Diceros bicornis minor: one gene and its partner. The protein of the gene in region 1 interacts with the protein of each later gene in a pairwise test. Links are inferred from orthologs where the notes say so. Each region holds a gene or a part of one and is shown in the gene's direction. Other genes may lie near its edges.

What was found. The genes of interacting proteins can lie anywhere in the genome.
Region 2: the proteins of MAD1L1 (region 1) and TPM1 interact in binary tests that used the Homo sapiens proteins (3 or more experiments, as listed by UniProt). The two-hybrid records come from large-scale screens. The link is inferred for Diceros bicornis minor from reciprocal best matches to the Homo sapiens genes MAD1L1 and TPM1.

What each region holds. Positions count from the first base shown.
Region 1 is NC_080765.1:12,312,710-12,322,767, forward strand, and holds the start of MAD1L1 (mitotic spindle assembly checkpoint protein MAD1), read left to right. Parts: upstream 1-5,594; 5' UTR 5,595-6,011; coding exon 6,012-6,115; intron 6,116-6,846; coding exon 6,847-7,009; intron 7,010-10,058. Other genes in the region: MRM2 (rRNA methyltransferase 2, mitochondrial), read left to right, coding at 2,264-2,706. UniProt on the Homo sapiens protein: Component of the spindle-assembly checkpoint that prevents the onset of anaphase until all chromosomes are properly aligned at the metaphase plate.
Region 2 is NC_080744.1:57,612,184-57,621,802, forward strand, and holds the start of TPM1 (tropomyosin alpha-1 chain), read left to right. Parts: upstream 1-5,535; 5' UTR 5,536-5,644; coding exon 5,645-5,758; intron 5,759-6,529; coding exon 6,530-6,655; intron 6,656-6,860; coding exon 6,861-6,986; intron 6,987-9,619. UniProt on the Homo sapiens protein: Binds to actin filaments in muscle and non-muscle cells. Plays a central role, in association with the troponin complex, in the calcium dependent regulation of vertebrate striated muscle contraction.

The sequences.
Region 1 (10,058 bases):
GGAGTCTGTAGATGCCAGCCAGCTGCCCTCTGCCCAGGGATACAGGGCAGCTGAGCCGCTTGGTGAAGGCACATACTTCTGACTTGGTGGTTTAGTAGTAATAATGGTAAAGATAGGACACTGACATTTTCAAAATGAAAGATAAAGTAGAGAGGTATAAAGAAAATTAAAACCACTTCAGACCACACCACATTAATATGTGCTTTAATATGTTGGTGTGCATCCTTCCGGAATTTGTGTTTGCAAACATAGCTACACATATATAACTTCTTTTTCGAAAGTGATATTACACCACACTCTTGTTGCTGATTTGGAGCCTTAATGGAGCTATTTTTTTCACTTACTGATATATTGCCATCTTTCTGTGACAGTACAACTGAAGCAACCCCAGAGGTTTCTGGATCCTATTGCTGGAAGCCGTGGGTTTCTTGGAGGTCCTGCTGGGGCTGCTCAGGGGAGCCCTCGCAGCCAGGCCTCTGGATTCTCCACTCTGGCTCAACCCAAGGGATTCAGCTTTTATCTGTTTTATATTTTAGGGTTTTGTCAAAGATATTCTATATCAAAAAGGTTCCCCTGACTAATAAACAGATAAACCAACCACCCATAAAATTTAGAAAACTGTGTCATCCTTGTAACTAGCTGCCTAGTATTCTAGAGAATGGCGTGCTGTTGGCAGTTATCCTGGCTCCTCGTCTGGGAAAGGTTGCTTTCCAGTCTTCTGCTACTATGCACAATGTGGGGTGAATATCCTTACCATTAGTATTTCCTGCCGGGAAGTCTGAGGGTGCTGCATCCACTGGCATTGTATGACATGTGACAGTCACAAAGATCTCGCCCAAACATCTTTGAGTGGGGACATTTGTGCCCATTTTCCTAATGAGTAGATTGAGGTTCAGAGGAGTTGAGTGACCTGCTAAAAGTATAGACCTGGGGATGCTGCTCCCCAAGTTCATTCATCAGCCGCATTACTGTGGGTGGGATGCCTTAAGGGGCTCTAGAACAGTTTAAATTTTTTTTAGCTCACTAACTATTTATCGACCAAGTGAATGAAGTTGTGTCAGAAACTTCAGCTCCTTCTCCACTGCTGGGCCCCTCCACAGACTTGCTACCAGCTGGTTTGAGTGGCTGCTGTTCCCCTAACTGCTCTTCAGGAGAAGCGGAAAAGCGGCCAGGTTGAACTTGTAGGAGGAAGTGGCAGAAGCAAGGATTGTGTGGATAACATGACTTGGTTTCTTTTCCTCCCAGAAGTTGCAAAAATGCGACCAAAGCCGTTTGCCTTGAGTGGACGCTGCTGAGGTTGTGGTACATGGGTGTTAAAGAGGGTCAAGTGCCTAACATGAGATATGAGCTGTCCCACTTTCCACGGCCGGAAATGGAGAGTTTTCACCTGCAAAATACCTGGACTTCCGATATTTAGAGAGAAATAAAATACACATTTCCCCCCCGCCTTTTATTAAGCAGACTGAGCTAGCAAATCTGTGGCCGTACCCTTACCTTACCCACCCTGATGTGTGTCAGCAGAGCAAAGGTCCCCCTCTGTGGAGGGAAGTGATGCAGAGAGAGGACGTCAGGGCTTGTGAGGAGGAGCGCTTTGAATGTGGGTGCAGTACGAGAGGAGGACGAGGGGGAGGCTGGGGACAGCAGTCGTGCAGGCGCGGTGTCTTGTTTTTGGTAATGTGAAACAATGACATCTTTTCTCTCACAGTGGCTATCACTCAAATATGGCAAGACATTACTTTTGGTACCTTATTTGGCATCTCTCTATCTTCCCCTTCTCTGGCTTGTTTCTAATAGTTTCTATATCAAAAGAGATTGGATTAAGCTGCAGAATGGATTTGTTGATTTAATCCAGAGGCACTTGATATATGAGTGTGTCATTTTCTATTTTAGTTTATCACAAAGACCACTCAGAGATAAGAACCCTTTCATGGAGAGCAGGCCTCATGGAGTGAAATGAAATCAGACATGAAGTCAAGTCTCAGGGTGTGGCTCCAGGTCTGCCTATCTCTCCCTGTGACTCTGGGACAGTCACTTTTCCTCTTGGCCTCAGTTTCCTCAGATGCAGAGTGAAGGACCACCACTCCCCACCATGTGTTTTTATAGGATGTATAGAAAGTGGGAAAAAGCCTGTGTCTGCATATTTGCACAGTAGCTCTTTTCCTTTGTCCTGACTTTTTATTTCTACTTCATTATTTTGTTGCATGTATTTTTGTGGGAAGATGCAAGGTGCAAATAAATAACGCATTCACCATTTCTTCCTTAGATCCCAGCGCTCCTGTTGGCTTTGTACTTGGGGTAGATCTTCTTCACATCTTCCCCCTGGAAGGAGCAACTTTTCTGTGCCCTGCTGATGTGACTGACCCAAGAACCTTCCAAAGAATCCGAGAACTGCTTCCTGGTGGGAGAGCAGATGTGATTCTGAGTGACATGGCACCCAATGCCACAGGGATCCGAGGCCTCGATCACGACAGGCTCATCAGTCTGTGCTTGTCCCTTCTGGACTTGGCTCCAGACATCCTGCACCCCGGAGGAACATTCCTTTGTAAAACCTGGGCTGGAAGTCAAAGCCATCGGTTACAGAAGAGACTGACAGACGAGTTCCAGAACACAAGGACTGTGAAACCTGAAGCCAGCAGGAAAGAGTCATCAGAGGTGTACCTCTTGGCCACACAATACCGAAGAGTGAAGGGGTCTGTGAAGGACTGAGAGTTTCTTCTGCCTCTTCTGGTCCTTTTTCACTGCAAATGTAGCCTGAGCTCTTTCCTGAAGTGTGGCTGGGGAGATGGAGCTTGATCTGATCTGGGAGATGCGGCAAGCAGGACAAGTGGGGGACCTTTTTTTTTTTTAAAAACCAAAAAGATAGGACAAAACTATATTCAGTGTCCAGTGTCCATGATATATGGTAAACAGCAGTCTCTCTAACATGATTTGTGAAGAGGACATTATGAGAAGGAGACAGGCAAAGATAAAAGGATGAGAAGACAGTGAGAAGGATAAACACGAATACGCTGAGACAGACAGACAGACATACACACACCTGTATGTCACTTCTCATCTTACAGACTGTTAGCATGTACAGAGAAACAGGTTTCCACCATGGCTCCAAGAACACAGCACACAGGTTTCCAGTTGTTATTTTGGCTATACAGTGCAATGTAGAAAAATCTGAAATTTCAGACTGGAGATTAATTTCCATTTCTTTGGTGAATGATCTAGAAACATCCATTCTTCAAGCAGTGAGAGTTCCCAGAGCAATGAGGGAAGACATTTGGTATGAATTATGCATAGGGTGGGTGCGCTTTGGTTTTTCCTGCGAATGTGTGTTGCTGTAATGCTCCAGGCTCCCAAGACCATAAAGGTAATTGCCAAAGCAAGCTGCGATGTGGTGTGTTCGTTTATTTCCTTTTATTCTCCTCCAGGAACTTGGTGCTGCTTTGTAAAACTATATAGATTGTGTCATCTTGAGGGATTTCCATTTTTAAAAAAATCTGCTGGTTTCTTCAAAGTCATTTGTGGAGGTGTGTTTATCCCTCGACAAGTTCATTGACTGTGAGGATGATTACATCCCAAAGACCAGCTGCGGAAGAAATGCTAGATGCTCAGGAATCTCCAGGAGTTCCAGGGCTTGGTCCAGCTCCCTGGAGTACGCTGCAGGCCGGATTTTAAAGTTATTCATTTTACTTTTGGCTGTAGTCAGTTGAGTACAGAGAACCCCCTGACCCACCTCTTCCCCATCGTCCCTGTCCCCATCGTCCCTGTCCCCATCGCATTGAATTCCCGGGGCACACAAACGAGTATTGTGTCTGGAAGAAGGGTATTCAGCGACGACCCTGGGGCGCTCAGCCCCGGCCTGGGGGTGCAGGGAGGAGGAGGGATGAGAACCCAGAAACAGTGATACCCAAGTTACAGGACGGGGTTGCTCTAGTTCAAGAGGGGCCTGTTGGCTGTTGCGCCCTGAGAACAAGGTGGGAGGGGGTCAGACGGGGGGACCCTGGCGGCCCACAGGGCAGGGGGAGGAAGGCCTAGTAGCATGGTACTTTACTTTTCCCAGTGGGCCCAGAGAAAAGTAAAAGAACGCGCTAACTCAAGCCAATACCACAGTAGCAAAATGTGGGGACCAGTCGAGAGTGCAGGAAAGTTTGGCCCTCCGAGGCCACCGTCGGGCGGTGCTCTTCCGCACTGTACGGTGCGAGGCAACCGCCTCAGTGGAAGCCCATCCTACGGGGGCGGGGCACCCGGACAGTCCGCGGTCCGGCATTCGGTCTCGAGCGGGGTCCCCCGGGGTGGGGGCTCCAAAGGGCGACGCGGAGGCCCCAGAACCCACCGGTGCGCAGACCCGGAGCTCCACCGCCGGCCCCGCCTAGGTCTCGCGAGAGCGCAGCCACACGTCTCGCGATACGCGGGCGCGGATGGAGAGGAGGGAGATCTGAGCGGCGGCGGCGGCGGCTGGGGCGGCGGTGGCGGTGGTGGCGGTGGTGAGGTGACGGCAGGTGAGGTGGGGGGAGGTGAGCGGCTGGGTGGGCGCGGCGGCCGGGGTCCCGGGTGGGCGCCGGGGCGGGAGGCTGGGAGGGGCGGCCCGTTGGGGCCTGGGCTGCAACTGCCTGCCCAGGCTGGGGCCAGGGCTGCCCGCCGTGGATGGGCGCGGGTGCCGCTCCCTCTGTCCGCCCCTGGGGCCCTGACCGGCGCCCCCTCCACGCCCCCTCTGCTCCCGGCGCCGTCCCGCTGAGCCTGGGCCGGGCTCCGAGCCCCGGCTTCTCTCGGCGGCCTCTGCGGGGGACCCCCTCCCTCCGAGGGGTGGCAGCGGGGAATGGCCAGTGTCCGCGAGGGCCGGGGCGCCCACGGAGGAGGGGCTCTTCACCTGTCCGCTCTCCCCGGCTGGTCCTCAGGCGCAGGCGGCCTCCCCCGAGACTGTCCAGGGGAAGAGATGCTCTTCCCTCGGGTGCCGCCCCTGTGCGGTGACCAGCGCTGTCCCCTGCGCCTCTTCAGTTGAGCAGTGTGGTAGTGCTGCCACTTCGCTTTACAACTAAGGAGACCGGCGGGAAGATGGGAGGCGACTTGCCCAGAGTCACGCTGCCTGCAGCTCGTCGAATGAGGGCTTGCGTTTCACACCTAGTATGAGTTTGGAGAAAGCAGAAAAAGCGGGTGGCGAACTATCAGGCCCGCGTGATGGTGCTCTTGGCGGCGTGAAGTGGTGTCGCGGAGTGATGAGCATCCTCGTAATTTCTTTAGGTTTCCGCAGCCATCGTTTTGCCAAGGACGGGAAGGGCAGGGGAGAGGCAGCGTGCTCTGGACTCCCAGCTCCAGGTTTCTGTTGAGAGGGGTTCAGATTCAGTGGTTAGGTGGCTGGAAGATTTGTCTCTTGGATAAGGAGGATGAAGTTTGAGCTGCTGCCTTATCGCCTGCCTTATGGAGCGGCTTAGTTCCAGACAGTTGAAAATGTATGTGTTCTTTTTCATTCTAGTGTATTACGTCCATCAGTTCTTACCCGGGATGCCTCTCGAGAAGAGGATATGTTGGCTAAATTTCCCATCATGGGATGGAGAGTATGGCCCTGGTCTAATCTTGGCAAATGGAAGGATTTGCCGTCCAGTGATGCTGCCTCCCACCATGCAGGCCTATATGTGCGAGGCTCAGGGCACTTGGGTGCTTCTGTTCTCTCTTCCAACCCATTTCCACTGATAGTAGGGATGAGAGGTGGGGCAAACAGGTATGATGTTCAGGGATGGGAACGATGGCCTGCAGAAGACAAGGGCTGTGCATGCACAAGACCAGTGTCCTTGTTAAATGGGAAATTCAGAATCTAAGATTCTGCACCTTCTTTTTGAGTGGGGAGAGGTGTTTTCAGTCTAATACGTAGGGGAAATCAGTGAGAGCCGGCTGTTTTCCTAAGGGGGAAAAACAGTGCACCTGTAGGCATTCACACCTTCTGGCTATTGACTGTGCCTGGGACGCTCCACGCCTTCTGGCTGTTAGACGGCCTGGTGTGAGGCGTAATAAGCACAGGTTTGGAGATGCAGGTTCTTTGCCGCTGCTTGTCTTCGGCCCTTCATACATGTGCTTGTGGAACACACTCAACCTTTGGAGCCAGAGACACCCGCGTTCCAATCTCAGTTCAGTAAGTTTTTGAAGCCTCCTCTTATATCGTCTCTAAAATAAGCGTGAAAGACCTAATTCATCCGCCTGTTGTGAAGATTGATATGTCCTGTGTAAAATTACAAGCAGAATGATAGTCAAAAGTGTGACAACAGTCACACCATCTGCCCTCTGGAGACTTCTTATAGACACTGTAATCCTTACAACTTTGCAAAGTGGGTTTCATGATCCTCAGTTTACAGATGAGGAAACTGAGGCTCAAGAAGTCTCAGTGCTCAGTAAATGTCGGATACCTTTCTTTTTGGTACCTGGTTGGAAATAGTAGTAATCTTATTCGTGTCATCGTTAACGTATATTATAATTAGCATTGCTATGGTCATCATCCTTATTGCCACTGTTGTGGCTCTGTTTCTGATTCCCAGAGGCCAGACTTTTTGTGAGTGTTTATGTGGGAGATGTGCCACCTGCCTGCTGACCACCTCCTGCTGGGAGCTGGTGTGCTGGCAACACTCTGACCGTCAGTGACTTTGTGGTGTGTTGTCTTTTTATGCGTCCATCTCTTCTCTGATAAATTGGCAGTATGTGCTCCCACTTAATCCCGAAGAATGTGGTTATGGACACTGGAATATTTTAAGGTCTCTGAGAGAGCGTTAAGGGAGTGGGACTGCCCAAAGGTACCCCCTCAACGGGCCGCTGTCAGAGTTGATGGCACATGGAAATGTTCACTGTGACCCTGCCCTTGTCTTCCTCCAGAAGGGAAATGGCCATGGAGGACCTGGGGGAAAACACCACCGTCCTATCCACCCTGAGATCTTTGAACAACTTCATTTCTCAAAGAGTGGAGGGAGGATCTGGATTGGATGTTTCCAGCTCTGCCCAGGGTTCTCTGCAGATGCAGTACCAGCAGAGCATGCAGGTGAGTGCCGTGTGTCAGGATAGGGGTCTCTAGATAAGGACATCTGCTCTGGGCCTGTTCAAGCTCCATATAATTCAAGTGAGTGCCAAGTGTCGGGATAGGGGTCTGTAGGTGAAGACGCCTGCCCTTAGGTGGGGCCTCTTCAAGTTCCATATACTTCAAGTGAGTGGCATGTGTCAGGATAGGGGTCTCTAGGTAAGGACATCTGCCATTACGTGGGGCCTCTTCAAGCTCCATAGAGTTCAGATGAGCGGGTGTTTCAGGACAGGGGTCTCTAAAGACACTTGTCCTTATGTGGGGCTGGTTCAAGCTCCACAGGGTTCAGATGAATAGCGTGTGTTGGAATAGGGGTCACTAGGCGAAGACACCTGTCCTTTGGTGGGGCCTGTTCAAGTTCCATTGAGTTGAGGCAGATCAGTGTTTCTGCAGCCTAGAGGCCAGCTGGCCGTCTCCCAGGTCTCCAACGTGGGCATTCACAGTTTTGGGAAGATAGCTGGAGGCCACGGTCTGGCCCTGAACTGTCCTGGCTTCCAGCCTGATTAATCAGCACCCCAGAGTGGGTCTGGTACTCAGCAGTGCTCACACCAGTGAGCTCACAGACACTAATGATAGGGTGATAAAGCCAGTTTATTCATTTCATTGATGGAAAAACCCCAGACTGCCTGGGAGCATGACCACCAGCATTCTCCAGCCAGCTGCTGGCTTCCTTGAAGTGGAGTACCTGGGAAGGCTATGTTGTAAACACAGGCTCGTGGTCAGCCTAGCTGGAAAGCCAGGGCAGTGGGTGACGGATCGGGTGTGTAATGGTCTCAGACTATGGGGGGCCATTTGCAGATTTTTGCTTCAGTCTGTCATGGGGTGATTTTTACAGTTTTACTCTGATTCTAGTCTTATTTCACTTTATTCCAAGTTCTTGGCAGTGCTCACTGAAGACACATTGTAAGGAGGTCAGGTCTCCTGAAGGACTTCAGGTTCCAAAGAGTTGTGGGGTCAGTGCCAGTGGGGCAGGGATCACTGGGGCCACACAGGAAGGGGGATGTGGTGTCTGCAGCCTTGCTCAGGCCCCGGCCTCTCTGCATAGACGGCTGCATCAGGCAGTCCCTGGCTTCTCTGCTTGGATTCCTCCTTCCTGTCAACCCTGTATGTGCTGCTGGAGCCGTTCCGTGATAACATCCTGGGTCAGACGAGCAAAGGGTTTCCTGTCGCTCCAGGAGCCCTGAGGAGGCACATGCAGCATTTGGGAAAACACACGCGGTATGTTTGTGTGCCTTCATTTGCTGAGTGATTGATTTACCGTATGCTTGTTGGTGGGCTGACTTGCTCACTGCCCTTTTTTGGCAAGGATTGTTCTTTATTCTGAAATTAGGTCTTTTATATTTGTCTTTGGTGTTAAAACACATTTTTTGAAATAAAGATGATAATAGATTGTAGTTTTTTTGATCCTTACTCACTGGCAAAATAAGAAGTTGGCAACTTTGGTCTAAGAAAGTGTTAGAATTGCCTGTCTGTCAGAGCTGTAGAATCTAGAATTCCAGAGGTCCCCAGTTTTCACTCAGTGCTGTTCAGGCTTCCCCAGTTGGGGGATCAGTAAATGAGTGGTGTAGTCAGAGCAAGCTGTTAGAGTCATGTGGCTACAAGATCTGCCTCTGGCCCTGAACTTGGCCCTGTCCTGTCCCAAGACTTCAGTCAGGGGTGCCCTCTTTCCTACCATGCCTCCACCAAATGGCAGTGAGGGAACTGAGACCCGACAGGTCTGGGGAGCCTGGAGGAGAGATCAGTATGTCTTACTTGCCAGTCCCCTCCCCCCTCCATTTTTTTTTTTTTTTTTTTGCTGAGGAGGATTGGCCCTGAGCTAACATCTGTTGCCAATCTTTCTCTTTTTGCTGAGGAAGATTGGCTCTAAGCTAACGTCTGTGCCAATCTTCCTTTGTTTTGTATGGGGGATGTTGTTGCAGCATGGCTTGGTGAGCGGTGTATCGGTCCATGCCCAGGATTTGAACCTGCAAACCCTGGGCCGCTGAAGCTGAGCACATGAACTTAACCACTATGCCACCGGGCCGGCCCCGCACCCCCCCTTTTTAATTAAAGTTCCTGTTTCCGTTTGAAAGTGTTTATAGTCTGCTCTGTTACACATCAGTGTTGGCTTAAATATAACAATAATGTTTCAGTTATTTTCCTTCAGATACAGTCAATGTTCCAGCAAGATATGGCCCATGGACCCATGTTTCTAGAACTCCTGGTCCCTGTGCAGTGGTGCCCCCGGAACTGGGGTCCCGCCGTGCTTTGGAGAGGCTGGGCCCTGGCTGCAGACACAGTGAGACTAGGAAGGCTAGTGAGTTTGATAGGTAGAGTTAGGAACCCCCAAATGTCAAGAGGTGGGGATTGAAATGAGAAAATATCAGAGGGGTCAAAAAGGGTGGACTTGGGCCCCCAAAGAGTTGGGGGGAGGTGGAGAGGATGCCTTTTCTTTGGCCCAGGATTGCTCACCCTCGGCACTGTTGACATTTTGGGCTGGGTAAGTCTTTGTTTTGCAGGACTTGGCTGTGCCTTGTAGGAAGGTTAGCGGCGTCCCTGGTCTCTACCCAGTAGATGCCAGTAGCAAATGCATACTACCACCCCCTCTTGTGAGAGTCACCAGTGTCTCTAGACACTGACAGGTCTCCTTGATTGAATTGAGAGCCACATGCTTTAGCCCATGCTTCCCGAACTTTAATGTGCATGTGAGTCCTCTGAGAATATGTTTAAAAGGAAGATTCTGATTCGATATCTCTGGGATGCAGCCCGAGAGTTTGCATTTCTTTGAGTGCCCGGGAGATGCTGTGCTGCTGGACTGCAGGCCGTTCTTGGAGTGGCCAGCCTCTAGCCCACGTGGAGAAGAGACCCTTACAATCAGTGATTCTGGGAAACTGTTTGGCGTGTCTTCTGAGGCCCTTCAAGGCTTGAACTCGCCTTTATTTACCTACCCTCTGTGGGAGGCTGGCTTCTAAATGGCCCCCAAATTCCCCACCCCTGGTGGACCGCACTTTCTCCCACTTAATCAAACGCTGAC
Region 2 (9,619 bases), on another chromosome or scaffold:
CACCTCAAACTCTCCCTTGAAGCTACTAGGAACAAAACTAATGTACCTCCCTTTCTATCTTTGTGAAGATGTCCTTCTTGTCCCATAAACACAAGAGTAGGAAAAGATTTCCTTGGCCCACCACACCTTCTCACCAGGTTCCCCCATCAGCTGAGAATGGGGGTGGGTTTAGGAGCCCGGGCTGCAGTACTGGGATGGCTCATGCAAGATAAGACACCTTTCAGCCCCTGCCTCATTACTATCACCTTTTAACCATGTTCAGATGTAGAGGAGACCTCTGGTGGCCCCCTCTCATCTCCTTCTCACCTTATAATGTGTTGCTTTTAAATATGAAATCAAATATTAATATAAAACAGGCTGAGAAACGGTTCATGAAAAGCGCACCGTTGTTGGGAGCTGGGTCATTCACGTTCTTGTCCCTGCACCGCCACCTCCCCGCTGGGTGACCTTGAGCCAGTCACTGCCCTTGGTTTTCTAATCTATAGCATGAGAATAATAGCACTCATCCTGATGCTGTCATAAGAGGTGGTGAGAAGGAGATAATGAACTTGAAAGTGCTTTTTAGACTTTACATAAATAAGGAATATTGCTATTCTTGAGACAGCTAAATTCCACCACAAGTCAGCTTGATTAAATCTATACATAGTTGCTCCTGTTGAAAAACAGAAGATAAGATATAAGGCAGAACTAACTTATTGTCTTTTTCTGTACTGGGAGAACCATTTTGCCTGTGCCAACCCTCCAGGTAGCAAGCATACTCAGGGACCTCTAAACAATGAAAGATGGTCACTAAATGAAGAAAGGCATCCACAGTGGCCTGAAGACCTTTCTCAGAGCTCCAAACCCTCCCTGAAAGCAGAGCATACTTTCCTTGGGTGCTTGATGGTAGCATCACAAACCTTGAGAAAGAAAGATCCCTTGTGTATGAGGAGAACAGGCTGTATCTTGTTCCATGAGACAATGAGCCGTGAGCATAACACGCTGCATTCCAACACCCAGTGGAAGAAGCAATTGTCTCTCAATTTAATTATAGATTCTCCACGTTCCCATAATTGCTTGAGTCAGCACTGTTGACGCTGGGGGAGTCATGGTACACGGGTAGAGCTAGTGCTGTTAAACAAGGTGTGACTATCAGGTAATAAGAGTTTATTTTTGTTTTTGTTTTTAAACAAACAAACCCTCATGTACATAGTCAAGTGAGTCTTCTTGTTAAAGGCGTCACACTTGTTGCTCATGTTGATTGTCTTTTCTAACCAAATATTGGAAAATGTAGTATGGCAAGTATGGGTGCTCTTATGAGAGGAAGGGACAGTATATTTAATGTTAAAGCTCTCCTAGAAAACCTGAGATACATGATCCTCGCAGCTATAGGGGGGCCCAGGCAGCATTTGGGTCAATGGTAATGTGGTTGGAAATTCACATTAAATGACCCCCAGAGAGAGGATTTTACCCCACGTCATACATAAATACTTATCCTGGAGGAAAAGATCCAGGTCTCTTATCCACCTTCCTTGATCCCATAAACTCTAGTTAAATGCCTGGCACACAAAAGGTGTTCAGTAAATATTTGTCCTACTCTATCACAATACTTCAGAAAATAAAACATAGAATCCATATTTTGAATGGAAATAATGTCTTTTGAGCATAGTTTTGTTATCTTTCCTTCCCAGATACTGTTTCTCCTACTTAATTGTATGGCTAATAGCCAATAAACAGTCATTCAACAAACATTTACTGAGAAATGACTGAATACCAAGCACTACGGAAATCTCCTGGAAATTCCACAGACATTCTTGATGTTCACACAGAAGCTCTGGACCAAGGATGTTGTGCAGGCTCCCATGTCACCGTGATTCGGTCAGCTTTTTTAATTTCAAGGAACACAGACTCTCTCATGTAACCTCAGGAAAGAAAGGGGGTTATTATAAGGACTCCTGGCACTGAAATTTGGTCATATTCTCCCTTCTCTTTCTCTCAGTGGTGCTTCTGTTTATCTTGACATGTCTGCTCCATCCTCCTTTCTCTATAACCAGACATCTCTGCTTCCTCATAACTGGGGTGATATATGACCTGTTGTGCTGAATTAGGGCAGGAGATGCTAGTAACACTTCAGTAACAAACAACCCCCAAATCTCAGTGGCCTAAAATAGCAAAGGTTTATATCTCTCTTTTGCTACATGTCCACCAAGGGTTAGTTGGGAGGAGAGGGGGAGCTCTGCTTACCATAGCCACGTGGGAACCCAGAATGACAGAGCAGCAAGAATCTTGAAAAATGAACATAGTGAGACGTGTTAACTCTTCAAGTGTCCGCCATAAATCACTTCTGCTCACATTTCCTTGGCCAAAGCAAGTCAAATGACCACACCTAACTAAATTGGGTGAAGATGTATAATCCTACCAAGACCCTGATTGGGGAGAAAGCCCAAATATTTGTGAATAGCCTTAATCACCCTCATTCAAGGCATCTCTAGCCCAAGATTGCAAACACTTTTTGTTTCAGCAGCCACAGCTGATGATTCATATTTTCCACATTCCTTAGTTCAAACCACAGTGAGAGAGAAGCTGAGTGGCCTAGTCCATCTTTGCCTGACAGACCACAGCACTAGGTCTCTGGTTAGCCTTTGGGTCTGTCCATGAGTCATGGCCAGTCAGCTGGGCAAGAGGGATATATACACTACAGCACGCGGCTGTCCAGCCCACCCCTCTTGATCCTATCCAGCGACCAGGAGATCTGTCCAGTACAGAAGAAATTGTGTAAGTCATGATGTTTTGCTTGTCCTAGCCCTACACAACAGAAAGGTCATGGATGGTGCAGTCCATGAAGCTGGGTTGGGTCTGGCTGGCTGTCAGGCTATTCATAGGGCAGAATCTCAACAGTGGCGAAATGGAAATGATTCAGTCCAGGGACCTGCTATGTTAACCCATCAATCTAGGGATCAATGATGTGGTACCAAGGGATTTAAAAAATTGGCTCTGTGTAGCTCCATTTCCACCCTTGGATACCACAGTCTTCATCCTCTGAACATAACTCTGGGTGAGAGGGGCAGGGAGGGGAAGAAGACTGCTTGGCTTCAACCCAAACAATAAGACCTGAACGTCTGAACCCGGAATTCAGTCCCTTTACCATATGCCCCCAATCTACCTTTCCAGTCTCATGTCCCAGTTCACCCCCAAGGAAACCTAGTGTCCAACCACCATCAAACATTCCTTTTTCTTCCCTTGGCTCATACAGTATCCTCCTCTCTATCTGCTACCTTTCCTCTAAAATCAGTCTAAAAACCAGCACTTTTCAGAGAAGTTTATTCTGTCTGCTCCGAACTGGTCATTTCTATTTCTTTCTCCTCTGAGTTCTTATACCCCTGCTCATGCTGAACACGTGGAGGGCATGGATGTGTCTTACTCATTTGGGGATACCAGAGCCTAGTGCCTGCCTGGTATAGAGCAGATGCTCACCAATGGTGTGTTTGAGGAATTGTCTGTAGCACCAGTTCATTTAAGGAAAATTTAACAAGTTGCTCTGCTATGTTAGGCACAGTGGAGAAAAGTCAATATTATATGATCCCTCCAGGAGTTTCTCTAGTTCAGTTGCCTCATTTTATAGATGAGAAAACTGAGGCCCAGAGAGGGGAAACAACTTGCCCTCTGCCACTCAAGCAGCAGTAATTTACTGAGCACTTTGCTATGTGCTAGACAAAATGCTTTTCATTCTTTATTGCATTGTCATCCTTGTAACAACTCTAACAGGGAAGAATTTTTACACCTACTTTACAGAAGAGAAAACTGAGGCCTAAAGAGATTGTAACATGGCTACGGTCGCATTGCAAAGAGGTGGCCAGGCCAGGTTTGGATCCCAGGGTCTAATTCTTGAGTCCCTACTCTTGCCCCCTGTCCTGAGCTCCAAGCTGGAGAATCAGCTCCCTGTGGTCCATGCATCTGTTCAAGCCCATAGGCCTTGAACTTTGTTAGTGCTCCTGTGGGTGGGGGGTTCTGGTGAATTTCTGTGCCCTACAGCCCCTATGCACACAGATCTAATGTTCTGACCATTAGGTCAGGGTATCTTTTCCTTCCTGGGCTGTTAGGTTAGTGGAAGAAACTTGATAAAATCCTGGAGAGGAACTTGACTATTCTCTGAAGGACTTACAAGTTGTTTGACCTGCCTAATCTACTCAGATACTGCCCAGGGAATATTCAGTATCCATGTAGTACAGGTTGTGAATTATTCTCTGGGGAGGGTGAAGAAGACCCTCACCAACTCTGCTGCAGCCAGTCTCAGGCAGAGCCTTGGGGTGGCCCCTTCTCTTCCCCTCCCACCAAAGCTCTGAAAAGAGCAAGCTTTTCCCCACTGGGGGCTGGGAGGAGTCAGAGATGTAAGGGAAATCCTCCTGCCTTCAAGCAGAGCTTGAAGTCTCACAGTCTGTACAGAGTTGGCCTGATCGCTTCTCCTGGTTATGGCTGTGGATACAGTGACTTCGCTGGGGTAACATCTATCCCACGTTTTGGCAACCTGGTACCTGAGCACCTAACATGGAAAGAGGCCGACTCCCTAAAATCAGTGCAAGAAAAATGATAAAAAGTGAGATCTGGAGGCACCTCAGGGATCATCTACCCCCCGGGATTTAAAGATGAGGAAACTGCAGCACCGAGGCCATGCGTCAAGGTCACACAGCTGCTGATGATGGAGACCAAAGACTGAGTTGCCTGAGTCTACACTCAATATTCTTTCCCCTTAAATTCCCACACCGACACACTAGCACACACACAAGCACCTTTGCAGAAGCACCACACACAGGCAAAAGCAGAACTAAGCCGAGTCCTGTGTCCCTAAAATATTCGACTGTTCCTCTCCTTGGAGGAAGGGCACGCAGAAAGATGCCCAGACATTCTGACCCGCACCAGCAGAGAAAGTCTCAGGAGGGGCCCCCAGAACTTCCTCCCAACTCGTCCTTTCTCTGCTCCGGTTGAGTTTCCAGAGTGAGCGCCCGGATGACACCCGGCAAGCGGAGAGCTGCCGGGGAAGCGCTGGGCGAGTGCAGGGAGCGCGCAGGCCCGGGCGCCGAGTGGGGCGGCTGCTGGGGGCCTCGGGGCCTGATGCTGTGCGCGCCGGGATCTGGCGGCTCAGGGGGGCGACGCGCACCCTCTACCTGCCCTATTGCCCCGGCCTCCTGTGGCTCAGGGCGGGCTCGCCTGGGGCCCTCGATGGCGGGGCGTCCGCCCTGGGAGGAGGAGCCGCGCAGCGCAGAGGTTAGCGCCCCGGCCCGGGCTCGGCCCCGGTGCCCTCTCCCTGGCGTGCAGGTTTGGAAACAGGGCGGCCTCACCCGGCCGCCGCCCCGGCGGCTCCGGTCCCCATATATAGACATATCCACCGTCAACTGGGAGGCCGGCAGGCGGCAGCGAATGGGCGAGCGGCCCCCGCGGGAGGAGCGGGGAGGGGGCAGGGGGCGGAGGAAGGAGGGGGAAAAGGGGCAGGAGAAAAAAGCTTTTCCAAAAAAGTATTGGCTGTCTTGAGGAATGCGGTCGCCCCCTTGGGAAAGTACATATCTGGGAGCAGCAGGCTGCTCTGCGCTCGCACTCCGGCTCGGCCGCCCCACCGCGCTCTCGCCTCGCCGCTCCCGCCGCAGCCCCAGGGCCCCTCGCCGCCGCCACCATGGACGCCATCAAGAAGAAGATGCAGATGCTGAAGCTCGACAAGGAGAACGCCTTGGATCGAGCAGAGCAGGCGGAGGCCGATAAGAAGGCGGCGGAGGACAGGAGCAAACAGGTCTGCGCCTCCCCGGCTCTGCGCCCCCCGTGCGCCCGCGCGCTCCGTCCGCCCGGTGGCCCCGAGCCCTGGCACCCGGGCTTGGCACCCCCGCCCGGCCCCTCACCCCCAGGACTCGGAGGGCCACCCCCTACTCCTGGGCGGCCAGGGACGCGCGTCTAAGAAGGGGGAGGGGAAGAGAAGACTCAGGCTTATTCTAACTCTTTAGTCTCGTCTGAGGACGCTTGTTTCCCTTCTCTGGTCCCAGAGCTCGCGAAGTCAATCCAAGTCCTAGAGGCACTTGATCCTCAGCATCGGGAATCAATTTTGGATGGGGGGGTCGGTAGGGTTGAGGGGTTGAAGGGAATCAAGTCCAGAAAGTGTTAGTCGTTCTTCTGGACTTTTGACTGGGGAGAATATAAACTTCAACTGGGATAGAGACGGGGGAGGGGAGGAAGTCATGGATTTTTTTCCTAAGAACAAAGATAGGACAGAATAGAGAGTGCGGCCCGAAAGATAGGGAAACAGGGGCTTTTTCTGCGCCCCCAAGTTGTGGACTTGAGCCCGCTGAGGCCTCAGCAGGAGTCTCCTCCCGGGGGAGGTGGAGGTGCGGGGTGGGCCACGGTGCGGTTCCAGCTCGGAGCGAGAGGAGGTTACCCAGGGACCCTTGAGTCCCAACTCGGTGGCGCCCCAAGCCCGAGGGCCCTCAGCCAACCCGGCGCCCTTGTGTTGTGTGTGTGTCTAACACCCGGTCCGTGCCGGCCGCCCGCGCCCGCCCGCCGCTGCCCCCAGCTCGAGGAGGACATCGCGGCGATGGAGAAGCTAATGCGGGCGTCGGAGGACGAGCGGGACCGGGTGCTGGAGGAGCTGCACAAGGCGGAGGACAGCCTCCTGGCCGCCGACGAGTCCGCCGCCAAGGTACCCGGGGCGCGCGGCGCGGTGCGGCGCACGAATGGCTAACTCTGTCTCTCTCTCTTTCTCTCCCTCCCTGTCTTTCCCTCTCTCTCTCCCTCTGTCCCTGTCCTTCTGGTTCTGTGCACCCACACCCTTCCCCTGCGGGATCACGCTGCCTGCTGCACCCACCCCCCCACCCCCCCTCCCGTCCCCCACGGCCAACTCCCAGCTGGAAGATGAGCTAGTGTCGCTGCAAAAGAAACTCAAGGGCACCGAAGATGAACTGGACAAATACTCCGAGGCTCTCAAAGATGCCCAGGAGAAGCTGGAGCTGGCGGAGAAAAAGGCCACCGACGTAAGTGCACGCACACACTGCTTCCCTCACCTCCTGCCCCGCGTAGTCACTCCGGGGTCACCACACGGGCCAGAGAGCAATGGAGGAGGGTCACCTCCTCCTGCTGGACATCTGCACACAGCCTCGCCATGGCTCAGAGCACTGGATGCTGCCTGGGACTGCTACTGCACACCTTCATTTATATTTCATCCATTCCTCTTTCTTTTTTCCTCCTTCCTTCTCCCCACCCCTGGGGGTGGAGGTGGGTGGGTGAGAAGCTGGGAGCATAGAGCAGCTGAAATTGGACTTTGGAGGTGAACCTTGCCTCCCTGGTGGCAGAAAACTTCTGAGGTGTCATCACCAAGGTTTGTGCAGACAGAATGCCTAGTTTTCTTTCCTCTCTTTCCTTTTGCCATGTCTGGTGGATGGGAAGGCCTGGGTTTCAGTGGTGGGTCTAGTCAGGATCCAGAGGGCCTGGCCTCTAGATGGAAGGAATGGCATGGTGCTAGGTTTACTCAGAAGACCGAGCTTGATGGTGGGGCAGAGAGACACTTGAGGCCTCCTTTCTCACCAGGGAAGTCTTAATCCACCCCTTAAGATCTGCCTGGGAAGATGATACTTGCTTGGGTCTGCAGTCTGAGGGCACCAGATCCAGAAAGTAAGCTGGGAGTTATATATAGCTCAGTGCTTTATATGGTATAGTGAGCCCGCTGCCCCCTGCCCTTCCTGCTCGCCCCACCCCCACCTGTCAGCCCTCTGACAACCACCGCATAGTTTCAGGGGTGATGCATAGGCCGCCAAAGCTCTACCAGCACTTTGTCCACTGCCCTTTGGAATCTTTTTCGCTGAAGAGCTGGCCTCTTCTGCTGAATAAGTCAAGCCAACCATTAGATTTCCAAAGGACTGACTTCCTCTCACACCGTTGGATTCCATTCCAGAAGCTAATTAAGCCTAGAGGCCCAATTAGGCAAGAATTCCTTGGGAAGTTGGTATAACAATTCCAAGAATGCATGAGCACCCGGGAAAGCTATGCCCGGAAGTTGAACTACCAAGTTCAACCGCAGAATTTTTTGTATGAGAGTAAAATGCAAATTGCTGGAGGGTCTTGGGTCTTGAAATCAGTACAGGCTTTTTGTGGCGTGAAAGGCTTGAAATGTAATTTCCAAGTGTGCTTTGTAAATGAGAAATCCAGACATAGGACATTTAGAATCTGACAAAAAGAAATTTTCAGTGAAAATCAAGATTCCTGGGAAAGGGGGTTCAGGGAAGCACTGATTTAGCTAAAACATTTAAGTTACAAACTACCTGGCTTTAGAAAAAGAGCCAAAAAACACATATAACTCTGTGCCTGCTTTGTATAATGTAGATCAGATGTCTGCTCCGTATATGGCTAAATGGAGGATGTCTGTCTCCCCCAAATTCTCCAGCAGGACGTTTATTTAGTTTTTTCAAAAGAGCCGCTGATAGATCAAGGAGAGATATTCCTTATAAGGAAAAGAATGCAGAGAATTTGAAAATAGCCCAGTAAGACTGAAGGCAAGAGAAGGAGATAAAAAGCTACTACAATTCTTAAGGAAAAAAAAGATCATAATTATTGTAATTATGGAGTGCTATCATGTCTTTATTGAAAAGTCTTGTTTAAGGGAGCATTGGAATGAGGTGGGACAGAAGTGGAAAAGAGGATATTTAAAGCCAGCTGGGCCGGGGGCAGAGCCAGCAGGGGAGGGAGATTTTTGAAACTGTTTTGGTTCATTTTTTTCCACTGGAAAACTGTCCCTAATATGAGCCATTTTTTTTTTTTTTTTTTTGTAGTATATTGATCACCTTCTCCTTTAAGACATTTTAGGTTGTCTGGAACCTGTAGGGATGTTTGTGAGGAAATGCTATATTTAGAGTAATTCCTAACTAGTAAAAATAGTCAAGATTTGAGGAGGAAGAGACAGATGTCACTAGAGAAAGGGGGAGGTGGGAGAGAGGTCAGCTTCCTGAGGTAGAATCATGTTACATTTGAGATTAAGACATTTCACTGTCATTACCAGTGTAAAACAATTTCACATTTTTCTACTAATTTATCAACCTACTTTACAAATCCTATTCCAGAAGTGGGCTCTTCCTAGCTTAAAAGCTTATAATTCAGGTAGCATCCCCGAGGGTTTTGTTTTTTGTGGTTCCACCTAGGTGAGGCTCTAAGGGGATCAGGCGTTCCATTTTCTCTCTGGCCCCCACCCCTTCCCCAAGAACTGTGATGTATCTGATATTTACAGTATGTAAGTCTTTATTCCCTGTAGGTCTTTGCTTCCTAAATCAGTGATTCTCAACCTTATCTAAACAGAATCACCGAAGGAAGTTTTAAAACCCCAAATCCAGGCTGCACCCCAGGCCAATTAAATCTGAATCTCTGGGAGTGGAACACAGGCGTTAGTATTTTTTAAATAACCAGGTGATTCCAACGTGCAGCCAAGGCTGAGAACTATTCTAACCTCTTGTATAATGACATCAGCAGGAAAATGAACTCACCTGAAACTGACTTTCCCAGGTGTTTGAAGTCACTAGTTGGCTGCTTAGAGCACTTGTACGTGTCCAGCAGTTTCCCTAGTTCCTCTTAGAAACTCCCAGACGCTCCCTTCCCCCACCCTCAAAGTTGGAGACGCGCG